Linked DNA regions of Arabidopsis thaliana. The protein of the gene in region 1 interacts with the protein of each later gene in a pairwise test. Each region holds a gene or a part of one and is shown on either strand. Other genes may lie near its edges. The genes, in order: SPL13B, ALC, AT4G22360 and GNC.

Region 1 (4,468 bases):
TCAAGTGTTTAAGCTCAGAGAAGAGATAGTGATGTTAATTCTAAGTTTCATGTAAGATCTGCTCAAGTACTCATTTTTACACTATTCGAGTTTGAAGTTTGATTGGAGAGAAGAAGAAGACTGTACAAGATTATGAGAAGAATTGGAGAAGCGAGTCAAGGTTAGAAAGAAGATGTGATATCATTTTACTTGTGGCATTTGTTATTGTAATGTTAGTTAAGACTTGGATTGAGACTTGTATGGAGATTTTATATATATTGAATTTGATCAAAAAGAGGTTTCTTGCAAATGTGTAACAAAATGTCCCAAACTTATAGGCTGTTTATAGATTTATAGCCAAAAAAATAAAGCTACAACATATCAGATCATAGCCTATAAAATATAGCTACAAAATAATAGTTTATAGCCCTTAAAAAGAGTTACAAAAGTATAACATCAAAATTGTGCAATAACAAAGGAAATCAAAGCATTTCTTTTACGCCATAATATGTGAACATTTAATAGCATAGCAAGAAACGCTATTGTATGTGACCACTCTAAGATAGCTCCGGCAAACACAGCGTTTATGAATCCGCTATGTAAACGTTATTATAGCGTTTTCGGTGTGTTAAGAATGTCCATATTTCTTGTAGTGTTAACAAGAACAATGATGATGATAAAGAACATTGAAAAATGAGGGAGAAGAGAAGAGACACAAATAGATCTTTCTGATTCTATCTATCTACCTACTTCTTCTTCTACTACTCCCAATGAAACGGGAATGTCTGCGGAAGACGGACAGCCTCGTTACCGGATATAACCGATCCATCAGAGACTGCACTCGCATTCTCAAACAATCCCGACCCGTAAAAAACTGTCTCAACTGCTTCTTGGGACAAAGAAAGTGGTGGTTGAAGCAAATGAGGGACTGACGACGAGGAGGATGACAGAAGAGAGAGAGCACAATCAGAGTCATGGATGCAACTCGTCATTCTCTCACACAACGATGCGGTTCTCGAGCTTTCTTCTTCTTGCAAGAAAGGGAATTGTTTTGCTATGCTTCTGGTACTGTTTGGAGAAGAAGAGATTGGAAACATTATCCCTGTCTTTGCAGGAGAAGAACCAACAACATAGCTCTGGCTCTGCCCATAACTCGAACCATTGGCGGCTACAGCAACGCTTACAAGACTATTTCCCCAGCTCGGGTTCAACACAGATGTAGTTGGAAACACATGTGAACCACCAGAAAACTCTAGCAATTTGCTACCTGAAAACATAAAACAATGCTTCTTCATCAACAAGGAACGGTCTATTGGATTCAAGAAACTAACTAACTTTTCTTAAAACAGAAACCTTGAAAACCCGTAAAGAAGTTGGCAGGACGACCGATATGTTCAGGCTGCGGCTTCCGTCGTCTTCGATTATGTCCATCAAGACGTTTCCTACAACTTCTCTTCCCTTCATCAAACTCCTCCAAAGCATGAAACCTAATTAGACACAAATGTTAACATCTTCACCAACCCAACAAGAAGCTTAAACCATTAACACACAATCTTACCTGCTGCATTGTTGACAAAACCTCTGTTTATGACCATTAATAGTAACCACAGGAGTTTTTGAATGAACATCACAAACTTTATGTCTCTTATGATACTCTCTACAATTACTAAAATCAGAATCACATCCATCAACAAGACAAATCGGCATCTGGTTGGTTCCAACACCATTCCCTCTTGTTCTCTTTGAACTCGAGCTTCTTGAACCTTCTGGTTTAGCTAAAGCACTATCTTTCCACTTACTAAGACTAATCACTTGCTCTGTATCACCAAAAACAGAGGAAGAGTTTCCAATGTTTCTTCCAAGTTTTAGATCAAATGAAAAATCCGCTTTTGACTGTGACGACCCACCAAACGAGATCGAACCATCCATTGGTGATAAATCTGGTTCTTGATCGAATCCAGATAAATAACCAGAGCTAAGTTTGAAATTCCAGTCCATTCAAAGATTGTGCTTTTTTTTCTTCTCTCACTATAAAAACACATACATACACAACAGCAATCAAAGCAATATCAAGATTTGTCCTTTTTGATATTGGTACTCTAAATTTAAGAACAAACAGCAAAAACAACTAGTAAACATAAAACCCATGAATCTTTAACTCAATTAAACTTCAACTTCAATACATATGAAGGAAAATAAAAAAGCATAAGCAAAAAGCAAAAACACAATTATAAAGAGTACTCTGAAATTGTAGTTGAAGCTCTAACAAAATGATCTATTTTGATATTGAAAAAAAAACAAAAAAAAAATCCCAAAAAAGGCAAACTAATTGTACTGAAAAAACGAAATGAGAAGTGCAGAAACATAGAAACTAGAACAGATCCCACAAAATGGGAAGAAAGGAAAACAAAAAAAAAAACAAAAAACTTTTTTTCTGTCTACTCAATTCCAAGCAAGAATTAAAAAAATGCAATAAAAATGAAAGATTAAAGTAAGATTATAAACATGTTATTACATTAAAAAAAACTATAGAATAAGAAAAGTTTGTTGTTTGAAGGTTGAGAAATCTTACCAAATCCATACACCTACCAGTAGAGTCAGTAGAAGAAGAAACTCCAAAAGAGAAAGATGAAAATATAAAAAAATGGGACAAGTGAAAAAAAAGAAAGAGAAGATGATGGAGTTTAGCAAGAGAAAGTGGAGACAACAAGTGTGGCTGCTACTTCAATAATGCAAATAAGAGAAAGAGGAAAGAGAGAGAGAAATTGATGATAATAGCTATTACTAAGTTAAGAAATGATTTACTTACTTTAATTGTAACTTTACTTTCCTGATTTAGGGTTTTATTGATATCATTTTTTAAAAACTTTGAGTAAGAAAAAGTGAAGAAAAGAATGGAGGAAAGTGACAGCTGTTGTTGATTGTTCTTTTGCTTACTTTTTCAACTTTTCTTTGTTTATATTTTTCTCTGCCATTCATCAATTCTGAACTCTGAGCATCCGATTTTTATGAATGAACAGAGTATACTTTTGAAAATTTCAAATTACTCATAAATCTTGTATCTTTTTACTGACCCTTATCCAAAATATATTAGTTTTCAAATTGTGATATAAAATAGATGTGGTTTTTTCTTTTTTATAACTATGATGATGATGAAAATGAAACAATAAATTGGAAAGTGATACTAAAGAAAGAGGTATAGGATGCTTAGTTGTTTACGGCAAAAAACATAGCATGTGAATGTTGTGCTTCGCATTACACAACATCTTCTTCTGTTTTTTTTCTTCTCTCTTTCCACCGATACGCGTTATTTTCTTTGACTTTCATAGTTACGGGTCACACAAGTTGTCAATTATCAGGGAGAATCGTATAAAAGTCTTCCATGTCTTTAAAAGTTTTGCAGATGGATTTAAAAGATTTGGGGTCCAAAGCCCATGTTTCATTTGTTTCGGCCCATAAATTGTCCTAAAAAATAACAAATTGGTTATTTATTGAATGCACAGTTGTTTTGAATTTAAAAATTTGTAGTTGACGAACCGGACCAAACCAAAACAAACCATGTAATTTGAATAAATAAAAAGAAAGCAATTTTCCGGTTAACAAAAAATCTCAAACTCAGTGAGTGAGTCACCGAAAACCTCTTGTAGTAGATTCGTGACGGGTTTGATCATCTCTTCGAGGTCGGTTCTAGGGTTTCACTACGAGAATGGACGGAGATGAGCTCACCGAGCAGGAAACTGCTCTTTATGACCGTCAAATTAGGGTATGGGGAGCTGGTGCTCAAAGAAGGTACTTCACATTGAATCTAACTTCTATGGCTTCAAGCAACAACAAGTTATTGATTTTCCGTTTGAGTACTAATAAACTCTTCTTGTTGGGCTATACTCGGTGAAAGTTTATCTCTTTCTGGGTTTTAAGCTAATTTAGCTGTTGAAATTTTGATTAGGGCTTCTCTGAATTTTGTTTTGTGTTTTTGCTTGCAGATTGAGTAAATCTCATGTTTTGGTATCTGGAATTAAGGGCACTGTTGCTGAGGTACCTCTTACTTTATTTTGTGACTCTCTATTAGCTATGTTGCAGTAGAGTGAGTGTTGGCATCTTACTTGGTTTCCTCCATTTGGTGTTGCAGTTTTGTAAGAACATTGTGTTGGCAGGAGTAGGTAGTGTGACTCTGTTGGATGATCGATTGGTTACAACGGAAGTCTTCAACGCAAACTTCTTGATTCTTCCTGATGAAAATGCTTATGTAGGCAAAACCGTAGCTGAGATTTGTTGTGATTCACTTAAGGATTTTAACCCTATGGTTCATGTTTCAATAGAGAAAGGTTACTCCTCCTTTCTTCATTTCTCTCTAATTTTAGTAGAAACAAATGATTTTAGTAACATCGAGTCTATGTCTTCAATTTCAGGTGATTTGTCAACACTTGGTGTTGATTTTTTCGAGAAGTTTGATGTTGTGGTTATCGGCTACAGTTCTCGTGCTACTAAG
Region 2 (3,709 bases), 6.2 Mb from region 1:
TTAATGCTTCCAGTATTGGTTAACTAGTCGGTTGCATGTGTAGTTTTCAAAGAAGTGCATTTGAATCCTAGATGTAGAAGAGATTAGGACTCTCTTTAATAAAAATTATATGTACCATTTTGGTTTCTTGATTCTAGAGTTGTATAAGCTGCAGAGTTTAGATATCGATAATTTTATGAATGAATCTTTTTTTTTCTAGGAATTATTGAGCATCACTGACGAAACAGGAGATGAACGCACTGGTTTAAGCGAGGAAGTGATTGATGAGAATCTAATAAGAAGGAAATATGAAAAGCGTAGCGACGATGAAACGAAGAGATGTGTGATCTGTCAGCAGAAATTGAAGGACAATGAAGAAGTTTCGAAACTGGGATGTGGGCATGACTTTCACTTCGGATGCATCAAGAATTGGCTAATGGTCACGAACAAGTGTCCTCTTTGCAACCGAGAAGTCGTTTAAATGTTTTATCAAGTTTGAAAGATTCCGTTTATCTCGTTGGATTTCAGTTTTTTTGTTTCTTTCTTTTGCTATGAACCATAATTACCAATATTTCCCTTTTTATCAAGTTAGAAAGATTCCATTTATTTAGATGGCAAGTTGGATTTTGATTTGATTTCTGATTTTGATTATTATCATCTATATATATATTTTTGCAGCCACTTTGTGAAATAAATTCTGGAGTTGGGATTTATTTACAGCGGCTGTCATTGGCATTTAATAATTGTTTTTGATAATTAGAAAGAAAATCTTCTAATTAAATATTTGACATTTAACAATCTTTCCAAAATCTCTCTACCTTAACTACACGATTAATTACTAAAATAAAACTTCTAAAATATTTAATATCATTTAATTACTACAAAATTATCATTTTTGATATTGCTTTTCTGCATGATTATAATCATCAAACCGTAGAGATATTTGATAACATTTAATTACTACAAAATTACAAAATATTTAGACAATAATTCATAAACATATCATAAATAAGATCACATTCATAAAATAAATGAGTTTTTTTAGAGGACGGGTTGGCGGGACGGGTTTGGCAGGACGTTACTTAATAACAATTGTAAACTATACAATAAAAATATTTTATAGATAGATACAATTTACAAACTTTTATATATATTAATTTAAAAAATAAATTGTTTTCGCGGTATACCGCGGGTTAAAATCTAGTTATTCTTATTTTTGCTATGAACCATAATTATTTTAATTACTATATTATATATATTTCCCTTTGGATGCATTAAAAAAAGGCTAATGATCAAGGACATGTTATCGTCTTTGTATTGACCATTATAATATCTGAATTTTATTTTGTGTTAAATAATCTCTCGAATAAATAATCTTTCGAAATGCATGCAGTTTTATTCACACTTTATCTGTGGACAACAACAACAACAAAAAAGAAGGAAAAAATAGATTTTTGTAATTTGTCAAAAATGGTGAAACTGTTGCGAGACCTTACTTTTCAAGTAATTGTCCATTTTCATGTTTAGTCATAATAATAATTAAATAGTCTATCAATGCTCTATCTTATCAATACTCTTATTTTTTCAACCGTTTCATTTACTGATTTTCATAATTTCATCCCCTCCTCTCAATTTAACTTATCACATTGAAAAAAACAATAAAAATGTATGTTTTTTATTTACTTGGTGGTCCAAAAATGCTTTTTTCCTTTTTTTTATTAGGTAAAAAATATAATATTATTAAATAAAATTGCTACAAAAGGAAACTGTTCACACACAGAGTGATGTGAGACACCAGATTCTGTCTATAGGGATTCGACACGCCACTCGCCTCTTTTAGAACCTCCACGCGCTTCTCTGAAGAACGTGATCTCACGCGTCCTACCTCCCCCGCCTATAAGCTTTACTACGAAAAAGCCACAGTGATAATTTTTACACACAGAGTAGAGCAGAGAGAGAGAGAGAGAGAGAGATGGGTGATTCTGACGTCGGTGATCGTCTTCCCCCTCCATCTTCTTCCGACGAACTCTCGAGCTTTCTCCGACAGATTCTTTCCCGTACTCCTACAGCTCAACCTTCTTCACCACCGAAGAGTACTAATGTTTCCTCCGCTGAGACCTTCTTCCCTTCCGTTTCCGGCGGAGCTGTTTCTTCCGTCGGTTATGGAGTCTCTGAAACTGGCCAAGACAAATATGCTTTCGAACACAAGGTATAAACTTAACTATTCTTAGCTGCAGAGATGCTTCACTTGGCTTTCCTTGTAAAAGAAAACAAAAACCAAAATTAGTCTCTTTTCTTTTTGGAATGGCTAAACACTAAAGAGAAGTGGAGCTAAACAGAGAAATTCGTTGAAGAGAAACATTGATGCTCAATTCCACAACTTGTCTGAAAAGGTTTTCTCTTTTATCTTCCTTTTAAGATTCTTAATTTAGAAAGAAGAAGAACCTTGAGATTGTAGTTGATTAGAATCTGAGTGTTAGCAGAAGAGGAGGAGCAAGATCAACGAGAAAATGAAAGCTTTGCAGAAACTCATTCCCAATTCCAACAAGGTTAATCAATCTTTGTTCGAATCAGAGATAGTGAGAAACATTGTTCTGATTGATCCGTTATCTTTTGTTTGTTTATAGACTGATAAAGCCTCAATGCTTGATGAAGCTATAGAATATCTGAAGCAGCTTCAACTTCAAGTCCAGGTTTTTTTCCTACTTACTATGATTATATACGTTCAAAGTCTGATTTGTAAATTACATCACTCAGATCATTAACTTGATTTACTGCATGATGCAGACTTTAGCCGTTATGAATGGTTTAGGCTTAAACCCTATGCGATTACCACAGGTTCCACCTCCAACTCATACAAGGATCAATGAGACCTTAGAGCAAGACCTGAACCTAGAGACTCTTCTCGCTGCTCCTCACTCGCTGGAACCAGCTAAAACAAGTCAAGGAATGTGCTTTTCCACAGCCACTCTGCTTTGAAGATAACATTCAGACAATGATGATGATCGGAATTCCTCTAGTACCTGCCAGACAGGAGTGAACAATGTTTTGAGTTTTAGCATTGGCCAGATTTCTATGTTCAGTTATAGTTATGCTAATAAGCTTTAGGAGTGAACAAAATCTGAGTAGTTTGATTATAATGATGTCTGAAGCAGATTATATATAAAAGACTAATTTACTTACATATGAGATGATTATTACAACTATCAAATGACTATGTCTGTGAGTTGCATCCATCCATAAGCACACCGGTCTCTACTACTTCGAGTGATTGCTGCTGCTGACTTAACCGCAGGTCTTATCTTCGTCATTGCTTTCTCTACTTGAATTCTCACGCCAACATCCATCTGTTATTTCAAATGGTACCGATAACTTTAGGGATATAGACAAGACAAATTGATATTAATAATATAACAAGGTTGTAAAGTAGAAACCTTTTCTAAAGAGCATTGTGTGTCTAAGATGTGGCAGAAGTATGACAGTTGCTTGTACAAGTCTGCTTCAGTGTACTGTAAAGTCAAGAGTTAGTCTGTGAAGCAATAGAGAGATAGGAGTTATAAGGTTGATGATGGTATATACCTTTCGTAAGAGGGTTCCGTTACAGTTAGGATAGTTTGGGCAAACTGTCCCCCGTTCACGTTCACCGAGTAGACGAAAGTTGGGGGAGCGGGTTGTGTGCTTGCATGACTCGTCTTCACACTGTTGAAGGCAAAATGTACAAGAAAACGTC
Region 3 (5,383 bases), on another chromosome or scaffold:
AGAAATTATATCAAACTGCATTATGTTGACATTTCAAAGGACGGACACATACCTGGAAGCACTTGTGGATGATACTGCTAGCGTCCTTTGAAGTTCTAAGATCCATGTGCAAAGTGTTGAGGAGCCACGACATAAACTCTACTGGATCTGATTGTTGGCCAATCCTAAAGCGTTTCTTGCTGGCTTTCATGACAGCTTGCAAGAACTCATGTGGACTCACCTGTTGATGCAAGGTAACTTAAATTAGCGAGGTCCTCAATAGGTGAGTGCATAACAAAAACTAAAAAAGTGAGAGGCATAAATTGAGTCAGACTTGTCCTTTAAAGTTTCGAGCATGCCAAATCTTGCGAGTTAGTTCCCCAAAACGGTGACCAAGAGGAGACTTGCAGTGCTGATAATTTTCAGGAATGAGGAAGAAATTCCTTAGAGGAGTAACTCTCATCAACGACTGGATTGTAACATTCACAAACTCTGTCTTTTGTATGTTGTTCAACCCCACCTACATATTTACAAGCTTAACCTTTAGGAGACATTAATTTCAAGATCAAGTGTAATCAAAGAGAAAGGATTACCATTCCTGGAAGATAGTCGGAGCCATCAAGAGCCCTAGACCACTGCCTATTCTTGTCAAGCTCGTTTACTTGTGCTCTACTAAACCTGTAAATGGATAGCACCGAAGCCTTCATACAAAGGAACTGAAAAATCAAAGAAAAATTGACAAAACATGAAAGAAGAGTAATATGTTCAAGCTATCATGCAAAAAAATATAAATAGATGGTAGATGATACAGAGAACTAGTAAGAAGAAACTGATTGAGATAATAGTCAAAGCAATTTTGTTGTTGTTAACTACGTGCAAAGGCTCACATGTTCACAAATCAATACCCAAAATGCAGTAAGAACTATGATGTAGTTAGTCACAAGATCTAATATACCTTGGGTTTAAAACATGGCGAATGTCATCCAAAGAAGGGTCATTGATCTCGTAACTATCAGGAAGACAATAAACCTTCTCTGTCAGAAGATTGATGTAAACGTGGTGTCCTGCTTCCAAGCTATGTGTATAAGCATGAGACTTCTGGCTTCTTCCTTGAAAGTACTTCCCACAAACAAGACACGCATACACATTCAGATTTGACAATGAGACAGAGCAAAACCTCTCGAAATCAAAATCCAACACCTGAAATCAACCATAAGATATGAGTTTAAACGCTAATCTCAAACCAGCAATATAATGAACCTAGCAGAAGCTTAAAGATCCACCATAGATTAGATACATTACAAGTACCAAACACAAGAAATTGGTCAATGATATACCTGACGATTAACAGTATCAAGATAAGGACAATCACGACGAACTTCAACATGGCGTGAATGCTTTCCTCTCCCCTTCGAAGCATCATCATCATCATCTTCGTCGTCATCGACCTCTACTTGAGCTTCTCCTTTCACTTTGTTACCATTTCCCTCTCCTTTCGCAACTACATTACAACGAGTTTGCGATTTATTCTGCTGGTTATTATCATCATCGTAAGCATTAGCAAACGGCAAAAGAGGATTGTTGAAACCTAGTGGTGGAGGTGGCGAATCAGACCGTTCCATCACTCTCTTCCTCTTCACCTCTCTCTCTTCCTCAGAAACACCATTCTTCACTTCTCTTTCACCTTTCATTCTCAAAATTTTCCCTAAGCTAAAGCTTGCTTCAAAAACCTTAGAACACAAAATCCCAGCGATTCACGAAGAATCCTCAACCAAAGAAGCAATGAACTCTTCCAAAAAACGCCAAATACTTCAAATCAGAAGCGTCGACAGTCGCGAATCTACTCGAACTTATCTCTCGTTCCCAATTTTCTCGAGAAACTTCAAAATCCGCCACAACGCAGACGTTAAACAAACAACCTATTAAAGCTTCAAGAGCCGACTCAAGTCTCACCCAGATTGATTAACTCGGTTAAAAGGCCGAATATTTATTATTGGGCCACACTGTTATAGCCCAATAACAATCTGTTCCATTTATATTACTTCTGTCAGCAGTATTCAGTAATTGATCTGTATTCACGATCCGATACTTATCGAATAACCATTAATACCCTCAAGCTTCTCGAAGCAAACTATAAACGCGTGAAAATCTACAAGGACGTATTCGACATTCCACGAGTAAAGAGATGAGTTCTGAAGTTAAAGCCAGCTGGCGAAGAAGTAAAAAAGCAAATAGATTAGCCAAAATACGACAACACCCTCTACCTACAAGCCATAGATACCATGACTCATAAGGGCAACACCGACATTTGTCATCATTTGATAAATCTAACCAACCCTGAAGGGCATATTCGTCTTTCCAAATAGTTATAAAGAGACAGAGACGAAGAAGGAGAGAGAGAAAGAGACAAGATTAGAGAAGAGGATAAGAGAGAGAAAGATATAGAGAATTTGTTGTCTTTTTTTCTTTTTCTTTTGTGGGGTATTTGTTTTTTTTTTTCTCCTTAAAAAGTTTTTTTTTTTGTGTGTATGAAAAAAAAAGCTTTGAAATTCTCTCTCGACAATGGTGTCGGACCAGGATCTAGCGAAAGGAGTCGAGACTTTGCTTCGACAATCCGACCCTAGCTCTCTCACATCGTTAAGCAGTATTGTTCAGCAGCTTGAAGCTAAGTTAGGGTTAGACCTCACGGAGAAGACGACTTTCATCAGAGATCAGATCAATATCCTCCTCCGTGCTCACCAAAACCCTTCTGCCTCCGTCGCCTCCGCTTCATCCGTACAACAATCTCACCCTCCTCCTCCGCCGTCTTCTCACCAGCAGCAGAATTTGCATTCCGGCGTCAATGTTCCTCCGATGGCGAAAGGGCATTTCACACTTAGCCATCCTTCGCAATTCTCTGTTTCTTCTCAATCACAACAATATCCTTCACATTTCGCTCTTCAGCCTCCTTATCACTCTTATGACCTAAATTTCCGGCAGCCTTATCCGGTTTACATGCCGCCGCAACAGCACCAGCATCAGCAGCAGTCTCCGCGACAACAACAATCCTCTGTGATGCTCTCACATGGCGGGAATGCTTCTCTATCTGTTAATCAAGCCCCAAAAGAAAGGTAGGGTTTGCAACATATTTCAAATGTTGGTACGTAATTTTGCTCAAGGTTGTTCCAATTTCAGTAATTTAGGGCTTTTGCTACTTTCATGGAAAACATGATTTTCCATTTTAGGAATGTCTAAATCTTTTGTCAATTTTGTTCATTTACGGGTTTTTAGGTTTTACATGCTCATGTTTAGAATTATCATCCTGTGATATTTTTAGCACATTGATTCATACAACGTTCTATTATAGTGTGATTATTTCTTTCTGATCTACCTAAATTTGGCACATCAACGAAATTTGTCAACTTTTCCTTTGCAGTGCTCCGGCTGGAACTAAAAGAAAGGGTGGTCCTGGAGGACTAAACAAAGTCTGTAGGGTTTCTCCAGAACTTGAAGTAGTTGTTGGTGAACCTGCTCTTCCTAGAACTGAGGTTATCATTGTCTTTCATTTATGATTATAATGTGTATAAGCAATTGTGGTTGTTATTTATGTGTTGCTGTGTTTGGCTTTTGGTTTTAGATTGTGAGGCAATTGTGGGCTTATATAAGGAAGAATAACCTTCAAGACCCGAGTAACAAGCGGAAGATCATCTGTGATGATGCGTTGCGTGTGGTTTTTGAGACTGATTGCACTGACATGTTCAAGATGAATAAGTTGCTTGCTAAGCATATTCTCCCGCTTGATCCATCAAGTAATGGTTAAACACAAGCGTTTTTTGCTGAGTTCCAACTGTGCTTGGTTTGTTCAAGGTTACTGACTGTTTGAGTCACTTTTGGCAGAGGACTCTGGTCAAGCAAAAAAGGCAAAAACTGAGGTGGAGACTAAGACTGAGACCACCGAGCCTATTAGTTCAACTGCTATTAGTTCAACTGTTACATTATCTGAGCCACTTGGTAAGTTCTTTGGCACTGGTGAGACGGAGATGGCAGACGAAGAGATTATTCGCCGTGTTTGGGAATACATAAAACTCAACAATTTAGAGGTAATGATTTTAATCTTGAAATCCTCTGGTTTCTCCTTATTGCTTCGAATTTTTTTCCTGTTTGCTGCTAACTAAAGCTGGTATTGTGGTTTACTCTATAAGATAATTTACAGTATAGGATTTCACATAACTTTATGTTATAGAGCATAGTGAATGGCCATAAACAAGAAAATTAAGATTTGTTTATTCTGCTTTTCAATTTTCTTTCAGGACCCAGTAAATCCAATGGCTATTCAGTGTGATGAAAAGCTCCGAGATCTTCTTGGATGTGAAAGCATTTCAGCTGTGGGGATAAATGAGATGCTGAGGCGCCATATGTACAAGCAGTCGTGATATCTTCTGGTCTGACTTAATTAACTAGGAACTACTAGTGTAAGTGAAGTTTGATTTAACAGATTATGATACTTATATATCAGCATTGTCCAAATATGGTAATTGACTTCTGTATCACAACTCTCTTGCAGGTGTGTATCTAGGGAACCTACTTATGACTCCTTGCTGTAGAACTCTGATAGGGAAGAAAAGATCCTTTTCACTTTTAACTTCCTTTAATGCTATTTTAATCTTCCGTTGGGTTCTTTGTTTTAGTTGGTTGTGTATCGACATGCTTAGGTTGATGTTGTATTTAGTATTGTACCGAAACTCTAGTGTTAAGGGTGAAACGGCGCAGATGTTTTGTATTAAACGCCATTCACCCATGAATGTCTTAGGAAAAAAAAACTCATGTGTTTAACTATGTTTTCCCTGTTGGAAATATTTGCATCCTACTGATAGAAAAATCTTATTCCCTATGCTATGGTTTTTTTTCCTGCTATCTTCCATGTTATTTGCTGTGTTTTTATCAGAATCTCAGACGTGTGACGTAGAAAGCGGCTGCAGCAAGCAGCAGAAGAACAAGTAGCAGGAGTGCCATTGCTTGTCTCCTTGTGTTTTCTGCTTGTCTCAAGAAAGTGACTATCTTCTCAGCAATACTCACTGCAAACGCCATAGTTCTCTGCATCAGAAGACAAATGAGAAACCACAATAGGTAAGTAAGTGAATCACATGATGACATAAATCTTATGAACATGACAGACTCACTAGTCTTAGGTGCTCTATGTGGAAAATTGGTTCCATGAACATCTCCACATTCCTGCATTGTTTGGTTTAAATATGGTCATGATTCACGGGTTATAATTGTTATGATAACTGAATTTAGAGTGGAACGAATACTGACTTTATCAATAGCTTTCCCTGGTACATATGGCAAATGTGGAAACTGAATCCCTTCCCCAATTGGATGTGTGACTTGTCACATTCTGCACATTACAGGTAAACCGTCATGA
Region 4 (4,668 bases), 2.4 Mb from region 1:
ACATTTTACATTTTTGATATATTTATGATTGGTGTGCTGTACTAGCTACTCATGACCCTAAGTAATAATGTAGCAGCGAAAGAAAAAAGTATTTTTTGATGTGTTGATTCAGACTTAGGTCAACCTATATGTGTTTTTTTTAAGTTTGAAATAAAATTAATTAGATCATTTTTTTTGGATAAAGGGCTTATATTAGTTAGATAATCTAATGAAAAAACTAGAAGAAAATATGTGGGCTTGCAAATATGTCGTCGTCTTAAAATGCAACACAAACGTATTATCTTCTTCACACATGATCTCTTGTCTTATATACGCATTCATATTATCCCATATCAACCATCTTTACCCTCATCTTTATATTTTGTGTTCAGTATATTCTCACAAGCAATTAAATCCAAAATAGTCAATTTAAAGCATTTCTAAGAAAAATTACACTACTATTATGAGCTTCAAAAATATATTTAAATTTTGAATGATACCAAATACTAGACGTACAATTTTAAAGCTGGTAATCCATTTATGATTGAGCTAAATTGTGATGATATGTATATTGTATAAAGATAAACACATAAATAAAAGTACCCTTAATTGATTATATTATTTCTCCAACCTCGTTACACAATACAGTACTATAAAACTTGTAAATGAACAAGAATTACCCACATTATCGGGTGACTAATGTTCGTTCCATCGGAAAACAAAAACACAACAAACTCAAAACCAAAATCTCCATAAACATATATAGAGCTATTAATTATCATATTAAACTCTCACACACTCTTATTATAAAATGTTTTGACTCCTGATATTAGACCAACTGCAAAAACTAAACTAATCACTCCAAGATTTAACAATCAATCATTATTATGATTACTATAATCTATATATTACTATTAAAATAAACCTTTTTGTAATGAGGATATTGTGATGATCTGATCAACCGTGAACCATTCCATACGACAGAGCCATGAGCAAAACAGCAGCCTCCTTCTCATCTTGTGGGAACACTTGTTGATAAGCTGAGCTTTTGCTCAACATTATTGTCAAATCATCGAAGCAAAATTTGTTTGACGAAATCGAAGAATTAGAAGAAGTTGTAGATTTGCTGATCTCTGAATCTCCGGCAACCGTTTCCGCTTCCATTTCCTTCTCCTCTTCCTCTTTGATCTTGCACTTTTTGGCCTTGGCCACCATTGGAGGAGAGTGATTGTATTTTTCCCCTCCGTTTGATCTCTTTTTTTTATTTTGCAACTTCTTTTTCAGCGGTAATTGTTGCACTCGGGGCGCTACCGCCACCTCTTGGTCGCCGGCTGCAGCGGCCGCGGCCATAGCGGCTCGCCTTGCCTTTCTTTGCCGTATACCACATGCGTTACAAAGAGACTGCAATGATAAATGAAAATTAGTATGCGAACTGTAGATGACAAAAAAAAAATCATAGAATGTTGGACTTATGAGTATCATTGATTAAAGTATTAATGTTTAAAGGATGTATCAGGTTTAAATAAATTAAATATCTACATTCTTGAAATATAACTATTAATTTTAAAAATGTGAACTAAACTAGGTAGATATAGATAGTATGACATATATCAAGACAATTTCGATTGAAGTAAGTGTGATTAATCTACCTTGGGACCTCGAGGTCCACTTCGCCAAAGAGGAGTCTTGGTGGTGTTACAATCCGAACAAACCCTAATCACGCCATTGTTATTACTATAACCGTTCTCGTTGATTGTATTGTAGCGATTCTCGGTGGTCGCGGCCGTGGTCTTCCTGGTCAAGACGTTCTTGAAATTAAGATCTTCATGGTGATCCTCGTCGAAATTAGTCTTATGATTCAAAGGGTAGTGATCACTTTCTTTATGATTATTATTATTAGTCTGATCAATGAGCTGTTTATTGTTGGTGATTGTTTTCTTGATCAACCGCATCTTTGGGGACATCAACCACTTGTCGGAGTCTGAATCGGGTTTTGTCGGGTTTTGATGAAGAGGATGGGGTTGGTCTTCGTGATCTTTTTTCCTTATCGTTAGTTTCAGTCTTGTCTCCTTCTTTGGCACCATGTGATCGCATGCTGATGATCCACCGTTAGCCACAAACATCTTGGCCTGGTATATATATATCACCGATCAAGGTTTATAATCAACAACAGATGGAATTGTACATAATAATATAATGATATGGCTTCTTAAGATCCCTCCTTTTTATTTGATAAATTAAATTTCGTCTATATAGAATTCTCGACATACAAATTCAGAAACTAATATTATTGTATGAATTTTACATGATCAGGCATGATTTTAACTGCTAAACTAAAAAGAACGATCGTACAAGAATAACATTTATACACACACACTTAAGGTTGATATGTAATTGTAAATTTACCTTGAGGGGTTGAGAAAGATGGAGATGATCAGCGTGATAAGTGTTGTTGTAGGCAACATGTTGATCTTCTTGAGAGTTGATCAAGAAAGGGAGGTAAGAGGAGAGCGATGAAATGGACGAAGAAGAAGATGAAGAATTAGAAGGGACTTGATGATGATGATGATGATGATGATGATGAAGCGAGGAAGAGGATCCAAGAGGATAGAAAAAGGGTTGTTCGTGATGGTTTTGATCTTCGTTAAGATCTATCGAGTAATGAAAATTTGAATCCATTGATGAGATAAACAAATGAAGACACAAAGAGAGAGAGAAAGAAAGCTAAGATGAGAGATTGAGAGAGATCATAGACGGCAAAAAGAGTCCAAGCTATACTATGTTTGATCCTTTTTAAAGGCAATGAGATGAGACACGAGCCAAACACACATGGTCTCTATTATATTCATATATAAAATATATCAGTTTAATAAATGGTTTACGTGAGTCTAGAGTTAGGGTACTTATGTCTCTGTATACATCAACTTGTACAGTGAATTTTAGAAGACATGGATAAAATACTGTTTTAAAATCCTACTTTCGGACAAGTCCGGATGTCATACCAATGATTTTAATTTTTTTAATGTCCTTTTTATATGTTTTTTTCTAATTTAGAAAAAAAAGCTCTAAACTTCTAGTTTTCTCAAATGACCATAAAGTATTATGAGATTCGAATCCATAATTTTATTTGCATATGCTATAACGGACATGCGATCCAGTAATCCTTGATGAGCTAGTAAAGAAAGCTTGTTGTTTTTTTCTTGGATTGATTTAAGAAAATGGATACAAATAAATAACTGAAATGATCAGTAATAGTAAATGGTCAATATTTACATTAAGAAAGTTGAAAATATATGTATATGTATATATATAATTAATTAATTTAGAGGTTCACGTGAGTCCATGGCACCCATACAAACCAAACACATGAGACAAACTGTGTGTATGTGGAATGGTACTGGACGGCCCCATTCAAAACAAACCCTATCTGTAATTTCCTTACCCCACTAGAGAGACACAGAAAATTAAAAATAAAACCCTAATTTATATAAATATTGGAGAGTGAGAGCCACACAAATCATGATAATAATTGAAACAAATAAGATCCTTTTACTTGTTGTCTTTTCAAATCTAGGGTTTCCTAGATCTCATCAAGGCTCTATTATAGAAAAAGAAAAAAAAAAAAGTCAAAATTTGGATTTCTCATGTTCTTTTCATATGTATATATACCGTTAAACTAAAAATCTACTGTATTCATGAAGAATCACTAAAAAGGTTAGATTTTCAGCTCTATGAATTTTTACTAGATTTTATTAAATCGTATCAGTCAAAACAAATTTAGAATAAATATTGATTGATAAATTTTAGAAAGTATATTACATTCTCTTATTTTCTCAACCAAAAAAAAACAAACTTCTCTTATTTAAAATGAATATCTAACTAGCGTCTGTAAATATGTCTATTGACAAATAAAAAATTAAAAAAAAAAAATGAGAAACAAAAAAGAGTCAATTAGCATTACGTGAAAAAACGTCAAAAATAAATAAATAAATAGAAATGACAAATAGTTAGTGTTTATCTTTCAGATAAGTCAGTGGATCTTCTTAAAATTCCCCTACGAGTAGTGTTAGTTAGTACCTAAAATTATAGACTTTGTTGTGATAAGCCATCAATCATATAACATGGATTGTTAAAAGTTCAAATAAGTCCAACACTGATTCGTTGGTTTATTTCCTGATAATCAAAGTTTACTCAATTGGCATAACAAATTCAAGATCTCTTGAAAACGTAGTATATATGCTATATGTAACTCGTGATCCTTTCAACTGCATGTGATCCATCAATAATCCTCCCAGAGGATAGAGAACGAAATGATCCATGATTGAGAGATAGGAAGCGAGGCAGAGGGAGAAGAGATCAGAGATCTAGAGAGAGGAGATGAATAGAGAGAAGAGATAGGTTTAGAATGGTAAAGGAAGAAAACATCCCACCTTAGTATTGCCAAACTTATTCAATTCCTTCTCATCAGATTATACAGATCATTGAGGACCCCCACACACAAAGAGACAATCCATCTTTATTTTTCAAAATTTAAAATTGGCCCATCAATTTGTAACAATTCTTAAGCTAACTAAATGATCTAAGGAAAAAATAATAATTGATATTAATTTTCTGCTATATTTAGTAGCTTTTTATATGGGATCAGATTATGATCTATATATAACTCCCAATTTTCTAACACATACTATA

Evidence for each region.
Region 2: the proteins of SPL13B (region 1) and ALC interact in a two-hybrid assay, tested with the Arabidopsis thaliana proteins (one large-scale study listed by BioGRID).
Region 3: the proteins of SPL13B (region 1) and AT4G22360 interact in a two-hybrid assay, tested with the Arabidopsis thaliana proteins (one large-scale study listed by BioGRID).
Region 4: the proteins of SPL13B (region 1) and GNC interact in a two-hybrid assay, tested with the Arabidopsis thaliana proteins (one large-scale study listed by BioGRID).

What each region holds. Positions count from the first base shown.
Region 1 is NC_003076.8:20,615,157-20,619,624, forward strand, and holds SPL13B (Squamosa promoter-binding protein-like (SBP domain) transcription factor family protein), read right to left. Parts: upstream 2,908-4,468; 5' UTR 2,552-2,907; intron 2,383-2,551; exon of another isoform or gene 2,008-2,382; 5' UTR 1,978-2,007; coding exon 1,538-1,977; intron 1,467-1,537; coding exon 1,333-1,466; intron 1,247-1,332; coding exon 741-1,246; 3' UTR 548-740; downstream 1-547. Other genes in the region: AT5G50665 (uncharacterized protein), read left to right, coding at 1-12; SAE1B (SUMO activating enzyme 1B), read left to right, coding at 3,686-3,768, 3,963-4,014, 4,109-4,304, 4,389-4,468. UniProt on the Arabidopsis thaliana protein: Trans-acting factor that binds specifically to the consensus nucleotide sequence 5'-TNCGTACAA-3'.
Region 2 is NC_003076.8:26,784,581-26,788,289, reverse strand, and holds ALC (basic helix-loop-helix (bHLH) DNA-binding superfamily protein), read left to right. Parts: upstream 1-1,858; 5' UTR 1,859-1,951; coding exon 1,952-2,188; exon of another isoform or gene 2,189-2,300; coding exon 2,301-2,372; exon of another isoform or gene 2,373-2,462; coding exon 2,463-2,528; coding exon of another isoform or gene 2,529-2,606; coding exon 2,607-2,672; exon of another isoform or gene 2,673-2,766; coding exon 2,767-2,958; 3' UTR 2,959-3,184; downstream 3,185-3,709. Other genes in the region: AT5G67120 (RING/U-box superfamily protein), read left to right, coding at 200-460; ICU2 (DNA-directed DNA polymerase), read right to left, coding at 3,186-3,326, 3,414-3,488, 3,559-3,678. UniProt on the Arabidopsis thaliana protein: Required for the dehiscence of fruit, especially for the separation of the valve cells from the replum. Promotes the differentiation of a strip of labile nonlignified cells sandwiched between layers of lignified cells.
Region 3 is NC_003075.7:11,805,270-11,810,652, forward strand, and holds AT4G22360 (SWIB complex BAF60b domain-containing protein), read left to right. Parts: upstream 1-1,987; 5' UTR 1,988-2,541; coding exon 2,542-3,089; intron 3,090-3,394; coding exon 3,395-3,506; intron 3,507-3,595; coding exon 3,596-3,767; intron 3,768-3,855; coding exon 3,856-4,058; intron 4,059-4,268; coding exon 4,269-4,391; 3' UTR 4,392-4,430; intron 4,431-4,522; 3' UTR 4,523-4,848; downstream 4,849-5,383. Other genes in the region: AT4G22350 (Ubiquitin C-terminal hydrolases superfamily protein), read right to left, coding at 53-220, 314-499, 573-657, 935-1,179, 1,317-1,670; AT4G22370 (uncharacterized protein), read right to left, coding at 4,900-5,052, 5,139-5,190, 5,275-5,356.
Region 4 is NC_003076.8:22,988,694-22,993,361, forward strand, and holds GNC (GATA type zinc finger transcription factor family protein), read right to left. Parts: upstream 2,838-4,668; 5' UTR 2,659-2,837; coding exon 2,386-2,658; intron 2,109-2,385; coding exon 1,629-2,108; intron 1,381-1,628; coding exon 937-1,380; 3' UTR 523-936; downstream 1-522. UniProt on the Arabidopsis thaliana protein: Transcriptional regulator that specifically binds 5'-GATA-3' or 5'-GAT-3' motifs within gene promoters. Involved in the modulation of chloroplast development, growth and division in a cytokinin-dependent manner.